Linked DNA regions of Coturnix japonica. The protein of the gene in region 1 binds, or shares a complex with, the protein of each later gene. Links are inferred from orthologs where the notes say so. Each region holds a gene or a part of one and is shown in the gene's direction. Other genes may lie near its edges.

The links.
Region 2: EIF3J (region 1) and EIF3I share a complex: the UniProt entries of both Homo sapiens proteins name them as parts of the eukaryotic translation initiation factor 3 (eIF-3) complex. The link is inferred for Coturnix japonica from reciprocal best matches to the Homo sapiens genes EIF3J and EIF3I.
Region 3: EIF3J (region 1) and EIF3L share a complex: the UniProt entries of both Homo sapiens proteins name them as parts of the eukaryotic translation initiation factor 3 (eIF-3) complex. The link is inferred for Coturnix japonica from reciprocal best matches to the Homo sapiens genes EIF3J and EIF3L.
Region 4: the proteins of EIF3J (region 1) and EIF3B are in contact, whole or in part, in an NMR structure (PDB 2KRB), measured with the Homo sapiens proteins. The link is inferred for Coturnix japonica from reciprocal best matches to the Homo sapiens genes EIF3J and EIF3B. Residues at the interface, in NP_003749.2 of Homo sapiens: Asp45, Glu46, Asp50, Asn51, Trp52, Asp53, Asp54, Asp55; in NP_001032360.1 of Homo sapiens: Lys202, Asn205, Val206, Ile207, Lys209, Ile210, Lys213, Asn249, Ala250, Asp251, Gly252, Tyr253, Lys254, Leu255, Phe261.
Region 5: EIF3J (region 1) and EIF3D share a complex: the UniProt entries of both Homo sapiens proteins name them as parts of the eukaryotic translation initiation factor 3 (eIF-3) complex. The link is inferred for Coturnix japonica from reciprocal best matches to the Homo sapiens genes EIF3J and EIF3D.

Annotation. Positions count from the first base shown.
Region 1 is NC_029525.1:17,935,991-17,940,036, reverse strand, and holds the start of EIF3J (eukaryotic translation initiation factor 3 subunit J), read left to right. Parts: upstream 1-1,232; 5' UTR 1,233-1,247; coding exon 1,248-1,401; intron 1,402-1,509; coding exon 1,510-1,610; intron 1,611-4,046. UniProt on the Homo sapiens protein: Component of the eukaryotic translation initiation factor 3 (eIF-3) complex, which is required for several steps in the initiation of protein synthesis.
Region 2 is NC_029538.1:4,527,790-4,531,813, reverse strand, and holds the start of EIF3I (eukaryotic translation initiation factor 3 subunit I), read left to right. Parts: upstream 1-1,159; 5' UTR 1,160-1,187; coding exon of another isoform or gene 1,188-1,200; 5' UTR 1,201-1,274; coding exon 1,275-1,277; exon of another isoform or gene 1,278-1,281; intron 1,282-1,440; coding exon 1,441-1,533; intron 1,534-1,659; coding exon 1,660-1,747; intron 1,748-1,999; coding exon 2,000-2,065; intron 2,066-2,374; coding exon 2,375-2,524; intron 2,525-2,628; coding exon 2,629-2,756; intron 2,757-3,034; coding exon 3,035-3,145; intron 3,146-3,422; coding exon 3,423-3,512; intron 3,513-3,767; coding exon 3,768-3,841; intron 3,842-3,999; coding exon 4,000-4,024. Other genes in the region: TMEM234 (transmembrane protein 234), read right to left, coding at 168-260, 547-613, 898-1,049, 1,188-1,200. UniProt on the Homo sapiens protein: Component of the eukaryotic translation initiation factor 3 (eIF-3) complex, which is required for several steps in the initiation of protein synthesis.
Region 3 is NC_029516.1:46,630,714-46,634,746, reverse strand, and holds the start of EIF3L (eukaryotic translation initiation factor 3 subunit L), read left to right. Parts: upstream 1-1,205; 5' UTR 1,206-1,297; coding exon 1,298-1,330; intron 1,331-1,423; coding exon 1,424-1,472; intron 1,473-1,549; coding exon 1,550-1,760; intron 1,761-2,406; coding exon 2,407-2,486; intron 2,487-2,759; coding exon 2,760-2,821; intron 2,822-4,033. Other genes in the region: ANKRD54 (ankyrin repeat domain-containing protein 54), read right to left, coding at 1-70, 732-779, 862-1,069. UniProt on the Homo sapiens protein: Component of the eukaryotic translation initiation factor 3 (eIF-3) complex, which is required for several steps in the initiation of protein synthesis.
Region 4 is NC_029529.1:3,185,188-3,189,202, forward strand, and holds the start of EIF3B (eukaryotic translation initiation factor 3 subunit B), read left to right. Parts: upstream 1-1,202; 5' UTR 1,203-1,501; coding exon 1,502-1,937; intron 1,938-4,015.
Region 5 is NC_029516.1:47,223,401-47,227,726, forward strand, and holds the start of EIF3D (eukaryotic translation initiation factor 3 subunit D), read left to right. Parts: upstream 1-1,493; 5' UTR 1,494-1,611; intron 1,612-1,836; 5' UTR 1,837-1,847; coding exon 1,848-1,970; intron 1,971-3,053; coding exon 3,054-3,099; intron 3,100-3,489; coding exon 3,490-3,626; intron 3,627-3,728; coding exon 3,729-3,814; intron 3,815-4,273; coding exon 4,274-4,326. UniProt on the Homo sapiens protein: mRNA cap-binding component of the eukaryotic translation initiation factor 3 (eIF-3) complex, a complex required for several steps in the initiation of protein synthesis of a specialized repertoire of mRNAs.

The DNA of each region.
Region 1 (4,046 bases):
TCTGTCTCCTCTCCATCCTGTGCTCCCATTGCCTTCCATGTTAAGGACTTGGAGAGCACACCTTTACAAAGCTAAAGTTCCAGTGTCAAATGAATGTTTGCACAGTTGCAATGAATCCGGTACGTCTGGCCAGATGGAATGGGTTTCAGGAAGTCGAGGCCAAAAAGTAAACGCTCACAACATGTTGTCATTGAAAGAAAAGACCAGGCAGCTCCTGGTGCGATATCAGCGCGGCTGTTAGGTTTGTTCCAATAAGTGCAACGAGAAACTGATTGCTATGACATGAAAATAACGTCTTCCGCTGTAAGTAGAGTTTCAAGTCAAGTGTGGGTTATTTTGATGGGGAAAGGACTTGGGTCTGCGCAGCAAAGCAGGCACGTGGCTCAGCCAACTCCATGGAGCTTCTGTATCATTATCAGCACCTGAGACAGGTGGAATCGAACGATGAGAGTCAGGCTGTGCTCTAAGGGCTGAGCCACCGCGTCGCTGCAGATCCGCACCTTGGGTTGTGGGTGCTTAAAGAGAATGGTTCACAAGTTGCTAAATGGCTGATGAGAAGTAGCATAGGTGCGTTGTTTTCTTAGCTAGTTGTCATTATTTTGTACAAAAAGATCTATATAAATTAATAAAAAAAAAAAGCAACTTCTTTGTTTGGAAGCAAGGAAGGCTCGGCAAGGATTGCCTTGTACAGGTTCTGTTACGCACATCACTATTTGGGTTGTCTTGACTGTGTAATGTAATACTGTTTTGCTTTATTTTTTTTATACTTGCAAAGATGTCATTGTACCGATAGGCTGAACCTTGTAAAATACAAATGGGAGAGAACCAACGTCCTACAGAGCTGTGGTTTTTTTCTGCTGTGGTTTCAGGATATCGAATCCTACAGATTTCTATTAAATATTTATACTCCGGTTGACGCTGTGATGGTCTGTAGCTCTGAGCCCTGCCAGCTCCACTGTGCAGCCCAGGGGCTGCCCGGCCCAACGCCGGCACTTCCAGCCGCCTCAGCTGCGTTTCTGCCCCGTGTTCCTGAGGTGATCCCCGTCCTACCCAGCACCGAACCGCCCACCCGAGCACAGCGGGCCGGGACAGCCCCGGCACGGCCCGTCCAGCCCCGGCACGGCCCGTCCAGCCCCGGCACGGCCCGTTGTACCGCACGGCGCCCGGCCCGGCCCCGCCCCGCCGGGGGGAGCGGCCTGTCAGCCCTCCCAAGATGGCGGCGGTGCCGTCACCTCACCCCTCCCAAGATGGCGGCTCGGCCCCACCTCATCCCTCCCAAGATGGCGGCCGCAGGGGCGGGCCGTGCTCCCATGGTGCCCCGCGCGCCGTGCGCTGAGCTGCGGCTGAGTCAGCTCGCGCCGCGCTCCCGCGGCAAGATGGCGGCCGAGGCGGATTCCTGGGGTAGGTGTCGGCCTGGACCCGGTCCATCCGTTCCATCCGTTCCATCCGTTCGGTCCGTCCGGTCCTCGCTCCGCTCACCCGCTGTCCTTTCTGCTTCCCCCCACACAGACGCCGACACCTTCGAGGTGGTGGAGCCGGTGGCGAAGCGGTTGGTGCCGGGGGTGGCCGGAGATCGCTGGGCCGGAGAGGACGAGGACGACGACGTGAAGGTGCGTCGGGCCGGGACACTCAGCGCCGGGTCGGGCCGCTCCGATCGGATCCGGGCCGTGATGCGCTGTTGGCCGTCGGGTGTTGTTCGCTGTGGGGCCCGGGAGCCGACACGGCCCGAACGCGGCTCCTGGCGCGGTCCGGTACCGCTGGGCCACGGGGAGCGGAGTCGGGCCGGGAGCGGGTACGGGGAGCCGGGCGGGGAGGAGCCGGAGCTGCGGGGGGTGTCACGGTGCTGCCAGAACCGAGCGGGGCTGCAGGGCGGGATGGCGGCCACGGGCTGACGGAGCAGCGCTGGGATGGGGGGTTTGAGGCGCTGCAGCACGTGGAGGCGGGAGGATGGAGCCGGGCTGCGATACAGCGAGTGACTGAGCTACAGCGAGTGACTGAACTACAGCGAGTGAATGCACTACAGCGAGGGGCTGCATTACAACGAGGGGCTGCATTACAGCGAGTCTCCTGCCGCCTGGCCCCGCTGTGCTCCCAGCACGGAGCTCTGTGTGCACAGCAGCCGGGCAGCACGTGTGGGTGGGATCGGGATGGAAGGAGCCGAAGCTCACAGCAGCGTTTTGTGGCCGGTCCAGCTGCTGTCGGGGCTGTGACACGCAGCGGTGCAGCTCGGGGTGTCGCCTGGTCGCCACGTTGTGGTCGCTGGGTGAAGCCCTGCACGGTGCTGGGTGAGGGCTCAGTGCTCGGCTGGGTCGGGCTGTGCCGCTGTTTGGAGGATATTGGAACCACCAGCACCATTGGAGCTTAGGGTGGAATTCCTTCTGTGGGCAGTGTGAGAGCGTTCCCTTTATAAAGAGATACTTGTGTGAGTTAGGAGCTGTCTGTTCTGCTTCTGAAGCACAGTGACACCACACCCTGTGGTTATCACTGCTGTGGCATTACAGCACACAAGGTGAGTGGGGGTATCTCTGTGAGCAGCGTGGTTACAGCGTCACTGGATGCACGTATGTGACACTGGCTGCAGTGTGTGCGTACCTGTGTGTGTTTATATAGAACACATACAGAGCGCTGGTGAAGTTTGCTTTTCTGCCTTCCTTTGGAAGTGAGGAACCTTCCTGGTATCCAGCGTGTCCAGGAGAACTGCTCTGTGGGGTGGTGCTCATAGGGACAGCTCTGCTGTCATAAAGGAGCAGCTCCCCGTGTGCAGCAGTTTGGCTTCCTCCCCCTTTCTCGGGGTCACACTATTAGTACCAGAGCTGCACCTGGAGCTGAGGGCTGGATGGCAGATAGGAGTGTTTCATTTCCATTTGCTCGTTGTTTAAATGCTGGAGATCTCAGGGCTGAGCCTGGGAGGTGGATACTGGAGCTCCTTGTTTGCCAGGGTCAGCCTTGGAGTATGGATATAAGGGAAAGATGTGAGCGCGGTGTTTTGCGTGTTCATGTTCTTGCTTTGTTTCCTACATACTCGGATCCTGTAGTTTGTTTTGCAGTTGTTTTGATCTTAAAGTAACCCCAGAGTTCAGGAAACATTGACTTCCCCGGGTTTCAGATCATCATCTTCATTGGTAACGCAGCTGCTCTCAGCTGTTACCGGGCACAGCTTGCCCAGCAGACAGGCCTGGTGCCAACAGGGTTCGCTCTATTTATCCCTGGGCAGCTCTTGGTTGGAGGCTGTGCCCTGGCTCAGTGTCAGTGCTGGAGGAGGAGAGATGGGGCTCAGCTCCTGCTCCAGCTGCAGCGGTGGGAGCAGCTGCTGCACACTCACCCCTTGCACACTCACCCCTTGCACACTCACCCCTGCTCACTCACTCCTGCAGTGCTGACAGGTGCTTGGAGCAGCTTTGGGGCGGGTTGTTCCCATCTGAAGGCAGCAGTTGTTGGAGGAGGCGGTCGCTTCCTGCAGCCCCGTTGGTACTCGCTGCCCTCCTGCTCTGTGTGCTCGATCTAAACCCCTCCGTGCAGGCTGGGCACCGAGCACAGCAGTGCTGAGAATGGCTGTTTAAGAAATGGGTGTAACAGGTTTAATTAGATACGAGCTGAATGAGCGCTGCTGCAGATTCAAGTCAGCCTCCTGGAATGTGGATGGAAGCCGGCTCTGCCACAGGTGCGGGTTGGCCCAGGGGAGCTGTGGGGATGCGCTGTGACGCCGCGTTCCTCCTCCGGGTAAATGGCTGCTCTGAGTGCTCACGTTTCTGCTCTGAGGCCCAGCTGGGGATTGTGGTTGTAAAGCTCACCCATAACGTGTGCATGGCCTGCGTGGCTTCTGTGCAGACCAGGCCCTGCCAAAGGTGAGCTCTTAAGCTTACAGGTTCCACTCGTGCTGGTAACTCAAAGTAGATTCCTGGGCCATTTCTTGGCTTTAACTTGTGGTGCCACATGTACCTTCAGGGCTGTGACAAAGCGCTGATCTGTACACAGAGGGCATCAGTGGGACCTGGAGGGGCACCAGGGGAAGAACACGTGTCCATTAATGATACCCAGCTAATTGT
Region 2 (4,024 bases), on another chromosome or scaffold:
AGCCAATTTAAATTCACTAGCTCTACCCCCTTACAAGTCAGTTTCACTTCCTTTTCAGCTTCCTTGCACAAACTACTGCCTAAGCAGTTACCAGAAGGGAGCACACAACATTAAAACAACAAATAGATGCAGAATACAACGTGCCAAATGTTTTAAGCGTAACTTACTTTTACCACCAATATCCTCTCCCAAAATCCTTCCAGTCACCAGCGTGACTATCAGAGCCAGGGAGTTACAGAGCGGCACTGCCAGGGACAGCTCTGAAATTGAACAATTGTAACACGGTTTGAAATGGATGCGTCCTTCATTCAAAGACATCTACTTGAATCCCCCTGTGGCACAAGTGGTAGAAGTGCCGCTCTGCTACACAGGAGGCTCGAATCCCGGGGGTTGGACTCGATGATCTCTAAGGTCCCTTCCAACCCACACCAGACTGTGATACTATGATGATGATACTTGATGTTCAGCCAGATCACCAAATGAATCAGTAATACAGCTCCTCCCCAAACCCTGATCAACCCACTGGACAAAGCAGTGAGAGCTGACCTGCAGATGCCAAGGTGAGGTAGAAGAGGAGCGATCCACATTGGTTCAGCAGGAATGGCACCATGTACTGCGGAAAGAAGACAGGTCACTGCATGGAAAAGCATTGCAATGCCTGCAGCAAGCAGTGCAAGCCTTGGATGCCATGTCTGCAGAAGGCAGGCAGGTCTGAATGTGAAATATGAGGGTTAATTTCTACAAGTGTCTAAGTTCTCCATAAGAAGAGCAGGACTGCAGGTGGGTAGATGAAATGTTATAGAGTACAAATCATTTTGCTGATAGATGGGAGGTGCTGAGTGCAGGAAGGAGCATGAAGGCCCGTCCCATACACCCCATGATTCCGGCTGTGCTCACCTTGTAGTTGCAGCCCAGGAACCTGATCTCGGCCAGCAGCTGCCGTAGGAGCCCCCGGCGCTGCACGTCCAACAGCCCCGCCGCTCCCGTCCGTAGGAACGGCCCGGTGCTGCCCCATAGAACCGACACCAGCACCAGCACGGCGGCCTGCCCTGCAGCACAACATCAGCTCAGCCCCGGGGCTGTTGGCCCGGCCGCCATCAGCCCGCAGCCCCCTCACACAGCCCACCCCGTCCCCTCAGCCCCTCCGGGATCCACCCGAGGCCCGTCCCCCAAACCCGGAAGCTCACCGGCGGCCGCCATAGCGCCCCGTGACCCGGACGTGATACTCCACGCCTCTTCTCTCTCGCTCCGGTTCCGGCAGCGCCGTGTCCGCCATGGTGAGTCGGGTTGTGGGCCGGGCCGGGCTGATGCGGGTCCCGGCTGGGTCCTGGGGTCGGCGGGGCTCCTGGGCTGATGGTGGTGGCAGCCTGAGCCCCAGCCGGGGCCTCGGCCTCGCTTGGCATAGCGTTAAATGGCGCCTTCCCTCATTGCCGCGTGCAGAAGCCGATCCTGCTGCAGGGCCACGAGCGATCCATCACACAGATCAAGTACAACCGAGAGGGAGACCTGCTGTTCACTGTGGCCAAGGATCCCGTGAGTGAACCGGGGGCACCGGGAAACCGGGCTGTGTGCGATGGGGGGGGAGGGATAAAGGTGGGTAATTAACGAGCTCAGGTAATTGGTCAGAGCGGCTCTTCAAGCCTTTTTATCTTCTTTTAGATCGTCAACGTTTGGTACTCGGTGAATGGAGAACGGCTGGGCACCTACAATGGGCACACAGGAGCCGTGTGGTGTGTGGATGCTGACTGTATCCTTTGGGTGCACAACCAGTTTGTGCTCTCGTTCCTTGCAGTGATTCAGCACGGATGGCTCCATTCAGCTGCTGTGTTTAATTGTCCCTTGTGCCATCTCTTGGTTATTTGTGCTCCTTGGGAAGTTTCCCAAGTCCTGTAATTTCTCAATGTAACGCAGCTTCTTAATCTTGTGTGTAAATACTCCCTGGGTATCTAATGATTTTTGGGGCTGCAAACGTGCTGATATCCCTTAACTGCTGACCAAGGGGACACCCGACATGTGCTCACTGGCTCTGCAGATAACAGCTGTCGGCTCTGGGACTGTGAAACAGGTAAAGGCTCTTCTCTCCCACGTGGCTGGATCTGACTCAGCTCTGTCCTGTTCTGGGATCTGTGCAACATGTGCCTGTTTGCCCCTGAAAGAGCCCAAGTCCTTTCTTGGCTGTTTGTGTATTTGCCTTATTTTCAATGGGCACTTATTCATTTTGCTCACCAAGCACATTTAGTGCTTTCCAGTCACCCAACCTGTCTGTCAGCTCTGATGCTCCTGTTCTTTCTATGACTGCACTTCTGTTTGATTGCTTTCATTAATGTTTGCAATGCAAGACCAAGTGAAGTGATGGTTTCTGCTCCGTGTTCAGGAAAGCAGCTCGCTCTGGTGAAGACCAGCTCGGCAGTGAGGACGTGTGGCTTTGACTTTGGAGGAAACATCATCATGTTTTCCACGGACAAGCAGATGGGTTATCAGTGTTTTGTGAGCTTCTTTGACCTGCGTGACCCCAGCCAAATCGGTGAGGAATCCGGGCCTGTGCCTGCAACTGGGAATAAGGGGAAGCGTTGGCTGCCAAGAGCTGGTGCCACTCAGTCTGTGTGTCTCCATCCTTCCTTCCTGCAGAGAACAACGAGCCTTACATGAAAATCCCCTGCAGCGACTCTAAAATCACTAGTGCTGTGTGGGGCCCTTTGGGAGAATTCATCATCGCAGGACACGAGAGTGGGGAGCTGAACCAGTTCAGTGCCAAGGTCAGTGTGATAAGGAGGAGCATCACCCTCAGGCAGCAACTCTTGGGAGAGGATGTTGCAACGTTCCTGTTGTGATCATGTGGCAGAATGTGGGTTTTTTTGGCTCAAACCAGTGGCCTTGAGGAAGGATAGTTAAAGTATGTGGCTTTCTTCAGCAAAGCTGAACATATATATGCCTACCTTTCTGCTGACAGCAACATCTAAAGTCGGTTTTAGCAGAGAAGTTGTTTGTACACTTTCCTTGCCAGTTCACTTAAACTGCCTCGTTTACCCTTCAGTCAGGGGAGCAGCTTTCAAACATCAAGGAGCACACCAAGCAAATCAATGATATTCAGACCTCCAGGGACATGACCATGTTCATCACTGCCTCCAAGGATAACACTGCCAAGGTGAGGCCTCCTGGGGGGACTGCGGTGCATTGCTGACATCCGCTTGCAGGACCCCTGCTCAAAGTCATGGCTGCCTCAGTGGTTTTCTCTTTGGGAATTTGAGCAGGTGTAGAGCCAAAGCTTAGTGGGAGGGCTGATATTTGGGATTCTGGAGCAATAGCTTTGACATTTGGATGCCCAGGAGTGACTTTAGAAGTAACACCTGCTCATGTGAGGACTGGCAGCTGGGGTTTGCATGAGATACTTGGACTGCCACTCTCTTCCTTTTGCATTTTAGCTATTTGACTGCACAACGCTGGAACATCTGAAGACATTCCGGACAGAGCGACCGGTGAACTCTGCTGCACTCTCCCCCATTTTTGATCACGTAAGCATGAGCCCACGCATACTAACGGTCTTAGTGCAGCTCCTGCATTGTCTCAGGCAGCTGGAAGGCACAGTGTCACCAGTTCAGCCTGAGCTAAAGAATCACTGTGGGACAGGGCCAGGGGACTTGACTGCTGTCATGGGCTGTGCTGGGTTAGTGGGAGGCTTCCCCAAGGCTGGGCTCCCTCCTACCCTGGCTGTTGTTCCACATATGGTGTAAGCAGCACTGCAGTGTTGTGACTTTCTTCCTATGCAGGTTGTGCTCGGTGGTGGGCAGGAGGCCATGGATGTGACCACGACCTCCACCAGGATTGGCAAATTTGAGGCAAGGTTGGTGCTCTTCTCTGGCAGGGCTGAGTCTGCACTTGGAGTTCTCTCCTGCTCCCAGAGCGTCTTGCTATTGGCAGCATTTGGAGAGTTACTAGAATTGCAGAGCTTCTCTGAGGAAACCCTGATGACATCCCTAACCTGCCTCTTTCTTCTCCCAGATTCTTCCACTTGGCTTTTGAAGAA
Region 3 (4,033 bases), on another chromosome or scaffold:
AAGTGCAGGGCTGTCCGGCCTTTGTCATCCGCAGCACAGGGGTCAGTTCCATCCTCCAGCAGTTGCTGCACTGGCAGTGCCAAGAAAGAAAAGGATGCAGGTAAGTTGAAGGGACACCTGATCAGAAAGGGGTGATGCTACCAGCTCTTCTGCAGGTAAGTATGGACCCTGCACAAGGTCAGAGCTCACAGATGAATGCATCCATCAGTTCATGAAACAAGGTGTACTGTAAAGCTGGAGGGTACAACATCACCCCATCCTGTAATGCCAGGGGTTGTTACAAATCCCGTCTATTTCCGATTGTTCACAACATGGTCTGATAACAGACAAAGGAGGAACCACGACAGGGGGCAAATGACATATGCCAGTATTGCTGATGAATGCTTAGGATCAAAACCCAGCTGATCTACAGTACATGGAAGTCAAGAGAGTCACAGAGCTGATGAGTGGGCAAAAGTTACGTACCAAAAAGCTGGAATAACAGCTGATTGCTAATCTAGCCTGAGGCAGCTGGACCCAATACAGTGAAAAAATCAATATAACAATCAGTCTCACTCTGCTCAGAGAACGGAACAAAAGGCTCAAGAGAAGCAACTTCTAGATCTTCAGCAACTAAAGGAAGATTCCTGCAAACTACCTGCACCTTCCTTCTCCTCGTCCTCTGCTGAAACAAAGAGCTTTGAACAAACTGCCTTTCCAGGAAGTGGCTTCACGTCAGGTTGAAGTCTCACCTGTGTCCAGGTCGTTGCCATTGGCAGCCTCACGCAGCCTCTTCAGGGCTGGGGAGGAAAGAAAGCCATTAGTGTGAAGCACGGAGGAGGAAGGGGGCAGGGGAGGAAGGGGGAACCCGCTCCCGCTCACCGTGGCTCTCCTTGCCCGTAGGCCCCAGGCGACGGTGGATGCGGGCGGCCCTGCGCAGGCGGCGGGCCGGGATCTTGCCGGCAGGTTCCTCTCGCTGCCACAGGACGTGCAGGTAGCCGAGGGAGGCTTCCCCCGCCGCCCCTCCCAGCGCCATCCCGGCTCCCAGAGCGGACTCCGACTCCGTCCCCGCAGCAGACTCGGCCTCCATTCCCTCACGGGCCGGGCCGGGCGGTACGGGGTGTGAGGGGAGGGGCGGGAAGGGTCGTCGCTGACATAGTGCAGACGGGCAGGCGGACTCTGCAATCAGAGAGAAAAGCCTCTGAAGACAAGCAGTTATTTTAACCAATAGAGAGACTAAACAAATTCGGCCGGCCTTCCGGAGCGTGCCGCTTGGTCCCACCTCCTCTTCCTGCCTGCCCAGGCCCCGCGCCGCGCCATGGCCTACCCGGGGGAGGACTACGACAACGATGTGCGAGCGGGGGGCGGGCTGCGGGGATGGGGGGGGGTTTGTGGGTCCGGTTCGTGCTCGTCGCGGTAACATCCCCGCATCGTGTCTTCACAGGCCGCCTACGACCCGTACGCCTACTCCAACGACTATGATATGCACACGGGTGAGTGCGCGGTGCGGGCCGCCCCGCGGGGTGGGGGCTGTAGGCCTCGGGCTTACAACCCGCCTCTTTCCCTTCAGGAGACCCGAAGCAGGATCTGGCCTACGAGCGGCAGTACGAGCAGCAGACGTACCAGGTGATCCCCGAGGTCATCAAGAACTTCATCCAGTACTTCCACAAGACCGTGTCCGACCTCATCGACCAGAAGGTGTACGAGCTGCAGGCCAGCCGAGTCTCCAGCGATGTCATTGACCAGAAGGTGTATGAGATCCAGGACATCTATGAGAACAGGTGCGGGGCTGTCCTTGCATTCTCACTGCTTAAAACCTCCCATACTTAAAGGCCCCGGGCCCCCGGTATGAGAAAGATGTAGAGCTGTTGGAGTGGGTCCAGGGGAAGGCCACCTCTGGAGTACCTCTTCTGTGAAGAAAGGATGGGAGCTGGGCTTGTTCAGCCTGGAGACCTCATTGCAGCCTTCCAGTACTTGAAGGGAGCTTACCCACAGGAGGGAACTCGGCTTTTTTACATGGGCAGATAGTGATAGGACAAGGGCAACAGTTGAAAACTAAAATTAGATGTGATAGTTTTTCACTGTGAGGCTGTTGAGGCATTGGAGCAGCCCAGAGAGGTTCTGGATGCCCAGTCCTTAGAAGTGTTCAAGGCCGGGTTGGATAGGACCCAGGGCAACTCAGTCTGGTAGCTGATTTAGTTGTCGGTAATACTGATGCAAACTAGATGATCTTTAAGGTTCTTTCCAACCCAAGCCATTCTATGGTCAGTTTTTTAACTGCTTTGTTTGCCATTCTAATTCCTTAGTAACACCAGTTTTGAAGGGAGACAGTGTCCTATCAAGTCCAAGCCCTTTGTACTGTGGTTTCTAACTGCAGCTCTGTGATGCTCAGGGATGTTTTCTCATACCCCACGTCTTATCTTTCAGCTGGACAAAGCTAACAGAAAGGTTTTTCAAGAACACCCCATGGCCAGAGGCAGAGGCCATTGCCCCACAGGTTGGAAATGGTAAGCATTTCTTTTCCACTCTGTTTTCCTTACAGGAGAATGAAGGAACTAAATTACTTTTGATGTGTTAGGGAGCTGGCATGTGGTTTTTATGAATCACTCATCTTTGCTATGGCAGCTCCTTCTGTAGATGCCTATCAGAAAGTCAGATGAATGAGCATCCTCTTTTACTTGTCCTTGTAACTGTGGCAGTAGGAACATCACCGGTGCCTCAGAGATCCAGTTGCCTAAGCTTCATGGTTTGCTGATATCCAGTTCTCTCATCTCTTCCAGATGCAGTTTTCCTCATCCTGTACAAGGAGCTGTATTATAGGCATATCTACGCCAAAGTCAGCGTGAGTATTTGCTCTGTGTCTTTTAGTTGCGCTTGGTTCTTCTGCCATCAAAGTGAACAAGTTGCACTGCTGTTAAAGCATCAGTGGTTCCAAAGTTTTGCAAAACAATATTGAATAGATTTAGGAGGTATGGGTCGAGTTAGAAATAGCTGAATTTTCTCTCTGTTAGAGCTGTATAACTGCATGACTTACAGGTCAGTTTTGTGTGTTTCTTCATGACTCTTTATTTCTTCTTCAGGCTAGCAGGTGTATGAGGGGGTGTCACAAGAGGAGTTTGAGTTACTTGTAATTGAAAGACCATACGGGGTCAGAGTGTTTTGTGGATAGGAAGAAACTGGCACCACAGAGGATACAGGAGAAGAAGACAGAAGGAATAATGGTCTATTAAAAAAACAACAACAACAAACCATGCTTCTTTCCCTTAAAAAGGCTAATTTGAAGTCAGTAGGAAAATCAGAGTAGTTCTTGGCTGTAAGAAAGAAGCAGGACAGGTGTGTGACTTACATGGTGAATGAGTAATAATTGCAGTTTTGGTTTGGACCACAGGGTGGAGAAATGGGTTAATGCAGGAGTCTTTTTGAAGTTCCTAAATCAAAGACTTGCCTGAACAGGTGAAACTGGTTGCTTGAGTTATTTTGTAGGAGGTTCCCAAGCTGCCCATGGGGTGTCTACAGGTGACACAAGATAATTCTAGGAAGAGTGATTCCCTCCTGTGTTTATCGGTCTTCTAGAGCATTTAAAACTTATTCTTTATGCAGAGGGCGGTGAGGCACTGGCACTGCTGCCCAGAGAGCTGTGGGTGCCCCATCCCTGGAGGTTCAAGGCTAGGTTGGATGGGGGCTGAACTGGTGGCCCTGTCCACAGCAGGGTCCCTTCCAAGCTATTCTATGATTCTTTGGTATGATTGTCTAGAAGCAGCTGTGTTGTTGGGATTTACAAAGACCTTCCTTGAGGGGAAGAGGACAAAAAGCTGTGTAGGTTAATAGGCAGTTCTTAGGTCTGGACAGCACAGAGGAGGAAAAGGAGACTTAAAGTATTCTATTCACATGAGACTTCATCACTTAGTTGTACTAGAAGCTACCTGGACTTGAAAAGGCAGCCTTCTTCTACTGGACAACAGTGAGACAATTTAATTTGTTCTGGGTGATGTTAGTGATTGGTGGGTGGTTGAATATCAGCTCTAATGTCACCAAAACAGATCTATTGCCTTGA
Region 4 (4,015 bases), on another chromosome or scaffold:
GATGGATGGGATGGAGGAGGAGGAGGAGGAGAGAGGGGAGAGGAGGACGGAGGAGGAGGGAGGAGGAAAGGGACGGGAGGGGAAGGTAGGAAGAGGGGAATGGAGGGGAAGATGGAGAAAGGAAGAAGAAGAAGAAAGGAAGGAAGGAAGGAAGGAAGGAAGGAAGGAAGGAAGGAAGGAAGGAAGGAAGGAAGGAAGGAAGGATTAAAATGTGCTGTAAAGTAAGAGAAAGTTCAAACAGATGACAGGGAAGAAAGACCCAGCATTCAAATTTGCTGATAGCTTGTAAACAGAAAGAAAGGTCATATAGAAATCTGTCTATCCCAGCAATGCAGGCAACTGTGAGGAGCTGCAAAAGCCGAGTCACAAAAGGACAAGCCGTATAATGGTGAGGATGCAGCTGGTGCTGTGGGTTGCAGCACAGCATGTCCTCCTATCTGGATAAAAAACGTGCTAGTAAGCAGGACAGGCAGCAGCTCTTCCTTTACTTCCTACTTGCTGCTGAAACCCAGCAAGTCACAGCCCGGCCCAGTGCTGTCACACAGCGGGGCCAGTCATCATTTCCATTCATAAACGCGGCTTCAAGAGGGATCCGACGCTCACAGCGCTCGGATGGAGCTCGGGTGGCACCTTGTGGCTGCCCGATAAATCACAAAACGAGCTTTTCCGAGCGGCTTCTGATTAAATCCTCAATAACTGCTTTTTCCCTCCAAAGCCATCGCTTAAACCTGACGGCATCAAAGAAAAGCCCTGTGTTCTCTGTTTGTGGATGTATCACCGCACACACTCGGACGTATCTTTGCATCGGGATCAAAGTGTCCTTGGTTTAATGGTTTAATGGACACAGAGCTCAGCTCACTGAGCCGGCGATGTGTTGGCAGGGCCGGGCCGGGCCCAGCATCACCGCCCCTCCATCACGAGCTGTGGTAGCGCCCGCCATCGCCCCGCCGCCTTTGGACGGGCCCACAGCGGTAGATCCGCGGGGGGGAAGGCGACAAGATTCGCTGTTTCCTCCTGCCCGGTGCAGGACGTTTGATGGCCTGAAGTGCCGGCACCGCACGGAGGGTTCGGTCGCCGCCCGCCCGGTTGAGCACAGAGACACGATCCGCTTTTGGCCTCCCGAGAAATGGTTCGGTCCAACCCCACCTCAGCGGACGGGCAGGAGCCGCCATGTTGGGCTGAACCATAAAGCAGTGCAGCAGGGGGAGCCGCAGCCGCGAGGGCTCGGAAAGGACGGACGGCGCTGCTGGCCGAGCAGGAGGGGTGAGCGGTGAAGGAGGCGGCGATCGCTCTGGGGAAGAGCAGGGAGAAAGAAGCGGCGGGTGGAAGCTCCATCGGGCAGCGCTGCTCTAACCCGGCCCCCCCCTCCCGTTGGTAGCGGCGGCTCGCGGGGCCTGGCGCACATGGCCCGGCGGTAGGAGCCTCCCCACCCCTCCCCCGCTCCTTTTCCCGTCGCTCTCGAGCTGGGAACGCGCGGCCGGTGGGGCCTCGTACCGACCCCATGCAGGGCACCGAGGACAGCCCCGCGCCGCCCGGCGCACAGGACCCGGCCGAGGAACCCGAGCGGGCCGACGGAGCGCCGACAGAGCCGCCGCCTCAGCAGCAACTGAAGGAGGAGGAGGAAGGGGAGAAAGAAGGGCCGGAGGAACAGGGCGGCTCTGAGGGGCCCCCTGAGCCGCCACCCGCCGCCTCGGAGCCCCCCGCCGAGCCCCAGCCGCTTCAGCCGCCCTCCCCTCAGTCGGCGTCCGGCCGGGAGAGCCCCTCGCAGGCCGGGCCCGAGGCCGAGCCGCCGTCGGAGGAGGCCAAGAGCGAGTCCCAGGCCGAGGCCGAGCCGCCAACCGAGCCCTGCGAGGACGGGGAGGCCGCGCCCGCCGAGCCCGAGGACGAGCTTTCGTTCAGCGATCCCGAGGGATTCGTGGACGACATCAGCGACGAAGGTTTGTGCGGGGCCGGCTCGGGGCGGGCTGGGCTGGGCCGGGGCGCTGCGGGAACGTGGGGAGGCCTCGGCGTGTCCGTGCGGTTGGTGCCGTCAGCGCTGCCCTCCTGAAACGGGGCGATGAGCTGCGGGTGTGGAGCAGCTCGGGGTCTGTGAGGAAAAGCTGGATACTGAGTGTCATACAATGACCCAGCCGTCGTTTGGCCCCATAAGGCGTTATGGCAGCAGCTGTCTTTGGTGCTTCAGTATTTCTACTGTTTCGGACAACTCTTTCAAGATAAACCGTGTCAATTCTTGAACAGCAAATCCATTTGTCTGTTGTGCCAGTTCTTACTCTGACGTAAATGCTGCTGTAGGTTCTGTAATGGTTACACGTATCAGAGCTGGAAAAATGCCTCTTAAAGCATGTACTGCTTCCTGAGTCAGCAGGTGGTTTGAATTGGTGGCGGAATACAAGTGGTAATTGTGCTTTCTTGTGTTCCATTCCTATGTTTAGCTTAATAAATAAGTGGAGAAGTATTTTGAATTAAGAAAGTGTGTTATTCTTAGTAGTGTATATGGCACTTTGAGCACGTGTATCTTAGAGACACTACCAAAAGTGTCTGCAGGTTTATCACTGGATTCTTGTCTAGTGAAGTGTTTGCTTTGGATGCTTTCTCTACATCGGGGATTATCACATTCATGTCAGTGTTTAGATAGAACCCAGAACATTTCCTGTCTTTTTTTCTGTTCTGTTCTTTAGGATTAATTTGGTTGACTCTTCATCTGTATGAATAATACAATGTTAGTGGCTGAATTACAGCGTTTAACTTTAGTCACTCCTGCTGGTCTGGTTTTCTATCTGCCTGTTCTACTTCTTGAGCTGCCTTATTCCTTTTCCTTTACCCTGATAACTCCACAGGACAATCAATTCCAGGCCATCAGCATCACTGATTCAAGGTTATTTCCATATTCCCACATTTATGATAAGAGTTACGTGTTCAGGAACAATTCTGAACCAGTCTGGCTTTAAGATTGGATCATCTCAGGTGTTAGTTTGACTTATGTTGGTTTTTTTTTCCCAGAATGGTGTTGGCACAGCAGAACAGCTGTTCCACCTTCCATAGAAGGAATGTGTCAGATCATCGCCCAGGTGCCATGAAGCTTTAGTTCAGATAATGAGAGAGGTCCTTAAAATTCTGCCAGCTGAAGATAGCCGTGCACCCACCACACCCCTCTTTTCTGGCCTGTGGGAATAGAGCTGGCTGAACCAGCCGCTGCCCTTTGAAGGTTTCTTTGTTGGTAGTTTTGCATTTAAGGTAGAGGAGATACACAGTGTAGGTATGTGTTTAACCTGTTAGAGTTCTGATTTAGGATAGAATGTCCTCTACTTCCATGTTAAGCTAAATAAGCATTCCTTTCTTTTATAGCCTTTTGTGGGAACTGGCTATGAAAAAGAGACTCTCAGAGCTTCAGGATTATCGTTCTCTTTTTCCCATAAGATTTTGTGGAAATAACCTGGTTCCTTAGAGGACATGTTTCCATATTACATGCAAGAAGAACTAAAGATATAAAGATTCTATAATTAAAAAATATTATTTTTCTATAATATCAGGTTTTGAAATTCCTTTTTTCAGTCCTTAGAGTTTTTGTAGATGCTTCCCTGCCCATCTGTTAGCTCTCAGGCCAGAGGTTACCTGTCAATGGCTTCAGTGTATGTGTGTTGTTAGCTAGCTGGGTAATGGCAAGATATCCTAATATACTCTAAGGTGTTGTATGTGCTTAGAAGTTAACTTATTTGCAGCTTCTTATTTCCTTTCTTCTGAGTCTTTGGCTCATACTGGGTGAACTTTCATCTTTGTAGAAAGAAGTTGAGGGGAAAGCAACCCAAATGTGTTTAAATTCTATGTTACCCGCGGGGTTAAGTTTGTGGATACAAAATAATTAAATGGAATTGTCTTGAGATACAGCTTAGAGTAAGGTATGCAGAAAATTCCACAGGTAAACTGTGTCTAGAAGCCTGCTGCTGTTTTTGTTGCTCCTAATTTTGTGTGTGACATAGGGCTGTACTGTGTGCCTTTCAACTGCTGTAATCTTGGT
Region 5 (4,326 bases), on another chromosome or scaffold:
GATTAATTAACTGATTAACTGAAATTATGGATCACAGATCAAGTGATTGCAAGCGAGTGTATTTTGAGCAAAGTCAGCACTTTTCTGGGACACTGTGTGTCTCACGTGCTGATAATGATAGCCGACAGCTGGATGGCAAATCATCTGCAGAAACAGTGCTGGAGCTGACACCAGCACAGCCCTGAGTGCAGCCCAGGACAGGAGGTGAGCTGGGCAGGGTCTGGTGCCAAGTAAGCGTGAGCCAAAGCCACCCTGTCCCCTCTTCCAGTAAATCCCACTTAAATGGGGGAACAAATCTCACCTTCCTCAAGGCTGGATTTTTCTTGCAGCTGAAGTTTCTCCTCTTGATAAGAAACCGGTAGGTTATGATGTGCCTAAAAGAGCATTTGTTCTCTGATGGCCATTCCCTGTGCTTGCTTTCCCCTCTGAGACACACTAATACCCAGCTCCATTCCCAGACGAGGCAGCCTGAGGGGCTGGGCCCGAAGTGCCAGCACTCTTCAGCAGGCAGCAGCAGCGCTACACTTGCCTTTCAGCACCTCACACAGGACTGTAAGGGAACAGGCAAGCAGGGGGAATGCAGAGTCTAGGTTTATCAGTCTAGTTGTTTTCTCTTTCTTCATTCCGTTTGCTCTTTGGGACTTCCTTTTACGTTTCCTAAGCATGACTTGAACGTGGCTATGCTCAGGTTGAGTCTGTGATATCCAGGGCTGTTCCAGCACTGACGTTTGTCACCACAAAGGCTGTTTGCCTGTGAGAGTTACAAATGGTATTTTATAAACCGTGTTTCTGTAAGTGGATTTCTCTTTTTGCTAGCGGGGAAAACTGCTTTAATAATCCGACTTCTGATTAATGGCGCAGCCTCCTGGCAAAGCAGACTGCTTCGGTTATTTCTCGAGGAGGGTTTAAACGCAGTAAATAAAGGAGGAAATGCACGGTGCTCTGCCTGCAAAATATTGATCTAGACTCAGATGGTGCAAGATACCCAGGGACGTTCTGCAAACAGGTTGTGGTGAGGTGGGGGTCGGCCTCTGCTCACAGGTAACAGTTATAGGGTGAGAGGGAATGGCCTCAGGGGAGGGTCAGGTTGGATATGAGGAAAGATTGAGATATGAGGAAGGTGCTGCAGTGGCACAGGCTGCCCAGGCAGGTGGTGCAGTCACCGTCCCTGGAGGTGTTCAGAGCCGTGTGGATGTGGCACTGAGGGACGTGGTCATGGGGATGGTGGGGATGGGCTGATGGTTGGACCGGGTGATCCTAGAGGTCTTTTCCAGCCTTAATGATCCTATGTAAGGCACGCGACGAACCCACCCTGCCCCCTCCCTACCCCCCGGGTAAGTAAAAGCCGTGGTGACGTCACACCCCACCACGTACAGCCCGATGCCGGCGGTGACGTCACGGGGCGCATTGCGCCTAACGGGAGATCCGCGCTTTACGGCAGTCGCGCTCCGCCCCCTCGCTCTCTCTCTTTTACGACGGTGGTGCGCGGCGGCGCCGTCGCGCAGTGCTGACGCAATAAGGGCGGGACGGGGCTGCGCGCGGCCTTTCCTCGCCGGCCGTCGCCGCCGCTGTCGTATCCGTCGCCATCGGGGCCGTAACGCGGCCGCTCAGGTGAGGGGACGCCGCGGCCGCCCCGTCACGCTCCGCCGTCCTACCGGGACCGGCCCGCGGGCAGCGCGACCCCCGGCCCCGCCCAGGCGTTACCGCCGGTTCCGGTGGGGCCGGGCCGGCGCCCCCGCCTTCCTGCGCCCGCTCCGGGCTCCCTCGGTGCCCCTTCCCCTCACGGTGGCGCCGACGGGGCGGGTGCTGAAGGAACGTTCCGCTTGTTCCCCGCAGGGCTGTGAGCCATGGCGAAGTTCGTGACCCCCGTGATCCAGGACAACCCCTCGGGTTGGGGCCCGTGCGCCGTGCCCGAGCAGTTCAAGGATATGCCCTACCAGCCCTTCAGCAAGGGGGACCGCCTGGGCAAGGTACTGCGCTGTGTGGCTGCTGGGTGCACCCCTGTGCCTCTGCTGAGCTACCAGAGTGGGGAGCTGGGTTAGACGTTGGGAGGGGTCTCTTTTTTTGCTCGGCAGAGAAAGACCTGGGGGTCTTGGTGTGCGAAAGACTCAACATGAGCCAGCAGTGCGCTCTGGCAGCCCGGAAAGCAAATGGATCCTGGGCTCCATCAGGAGAGGTGGTCAGCAGGATAGGGAGATCGTCCTCTCTACTCTGCTTTGTGAGCCCATCTGGATACTGTGTCCAGGTGTGGAGCCCTCAGTACAAAAAACATGGAATTTTGGAAAGGGTCCAGAGGAGGCCACGAAGATGATCAGGGGCTGGAGCACTCCCCTATGAGGAACAGCTGAGGGAGTTGGTGTTCGCCTAGAGAAGAGAAGGTTGCGGGTGACCTCATTGCAGCCTTTCAGTACTGAAGGAACTACTCCCAGGAGGGAGTAAACTCTTCAAAAGGCTGATAATAGCAGGACTAGGGGAAATGGTTTTAAGTTGAAGGAGGGAAGATTAGGTTGGATTTTAGGGGAATCTTCACTAGGAAAGTGGTTAGGCCCTGGACACGGCTGCCCAGGGAGTTGTGAATGCCCGTCCTTGAGGTGTTCAGACCAGGTTGGACGGGCCCGCAACCTGATCTAGTAAGGTGTATGTTTGGCGCCTGCCAGGCAGGTTGGAACTACATGATCCTTGAGGTCCCTTCCAACCCGGGTCATTCTGTGATTCTTTGTTTAGAGGACGCTGAGGCGCTGGCACAGACTGCCCAGAGAGCTGTGGTGCCCATACACCTGCAGCTTAAAGCCGGTGAATGAGCTGGTGGGGGGCAGGATTTAGATATTCTTTAAGATTCCTTCCAACCTGAGCCATTCTGAGATATGACATTATATGGTTCTCCAGCACCTTGACAGTTGTGAGCATTCTGTGAGGCTTGCTTATGGAGGTGGGAGTTGAGGTGCATACAGCAGTCCCTTATTTTGCCTTTTGAGGCCCTACTGGGGGGGGGGACGACACACACATCATATTAACACTTGCTTTTTTTTTTTACTGTATATTTTTGTCCTTAGGTGGCAGATTGGACAGGAGCCACGTATCAGGATAAGAGATACACAAGTACGTGTTGTCCAATGGCTGTTCCTGCTATTTATTTTGTGCAAAGCTTACTTCAAACGTCATCCCTGCTTTCGTGTTTCCCACTGGCTCTACCGGCTACATACACACCTCAGCAGAGGAGGCTCTTTAATTTCAGAAGCGTGTCTCACCGCTTGGAGAGCTGCGTGGGGCTCTCCCTGCCCTTAGGGTTCCCTTGTGGGTTTGTTCCATGTGCTGACTGGTGCTTCTCTGGGAGGTTCAGAGCAGGGAGGCAATGTGACAGTCTAATGCAGGAGTCCTAGTTGATGCATTAGACTTGAGTAAAGGCTACTGAGGAAAACTGGGGGGGCGGGTGGAGTGTCATATTTTTGCTTCCAAGCTTCATAGCAAAATGATTTATTTTATTTCCAGACAAGTACTCATCACAGTTTGGTGGTGGAAGTCAATATGCGTATTTCCATGAGGAGGATGAGACCAGCTTCCAGTTGGTGGATACAGCCCGGACACAGAAAACTGCATACCAGAGGAATCGCATGCGATTTGCACAGGTAAAGCTTTACTTTCAGAAACAGGCTCAAAAAAAGAGATTGAGCAATACAGAATTACTTTGCCACTAATCTGTCCTTTTATTCTTTGCTGCATTCCCACAGAGGAACCTTCGGAGAGACAAGGACCGCCGGAACATGCTGCAGTTCAGCATGCAGACGCTGCCAAAGAGTGCCAAGCAGAAAGAGAGGTGCGGGCTTCACATACAAGCATTCTGTACTTGGAGTGTGTGAACATACTGTTAACGAGTAATTTAAGTTACTGTAACAGAACCCACCAAAGTTCCTAGCAAAGCATTTCAGGGTATTTTAATGTTTGCTGATGCGCCCAGTAGTTACAAGCATGGATTTCAGGCAGCTATTTAAGAATCTAGGAGATGTTTTGAGTCAAGTTTAGGAGGTAAGTGTGACAACTTAAAGCAGGATGTGCTCTTCCTGGAAACTGTGTTGTGGTCATTAAGGATAAAAACATATAAAGGGTGTTCAGAGTGCAGAACAAAGCTCTTAACACTTCAGTTGTTTGGATAGCCAAATTCTCAGCCTGCAAACGTTGTTCCTCTGGTGATTATTTGGAAGTGTGGGAGTCGTGGCAGGGAGCTTCTTGTGTTGAGAACTTGTTGTAATGGCTTTTCACCTATTTGTCATTGTAGGGATCGTTTGCGCCTCCAAAAGAAGTTTCAGAAGCAGTTTGGAGTGAGGCAGA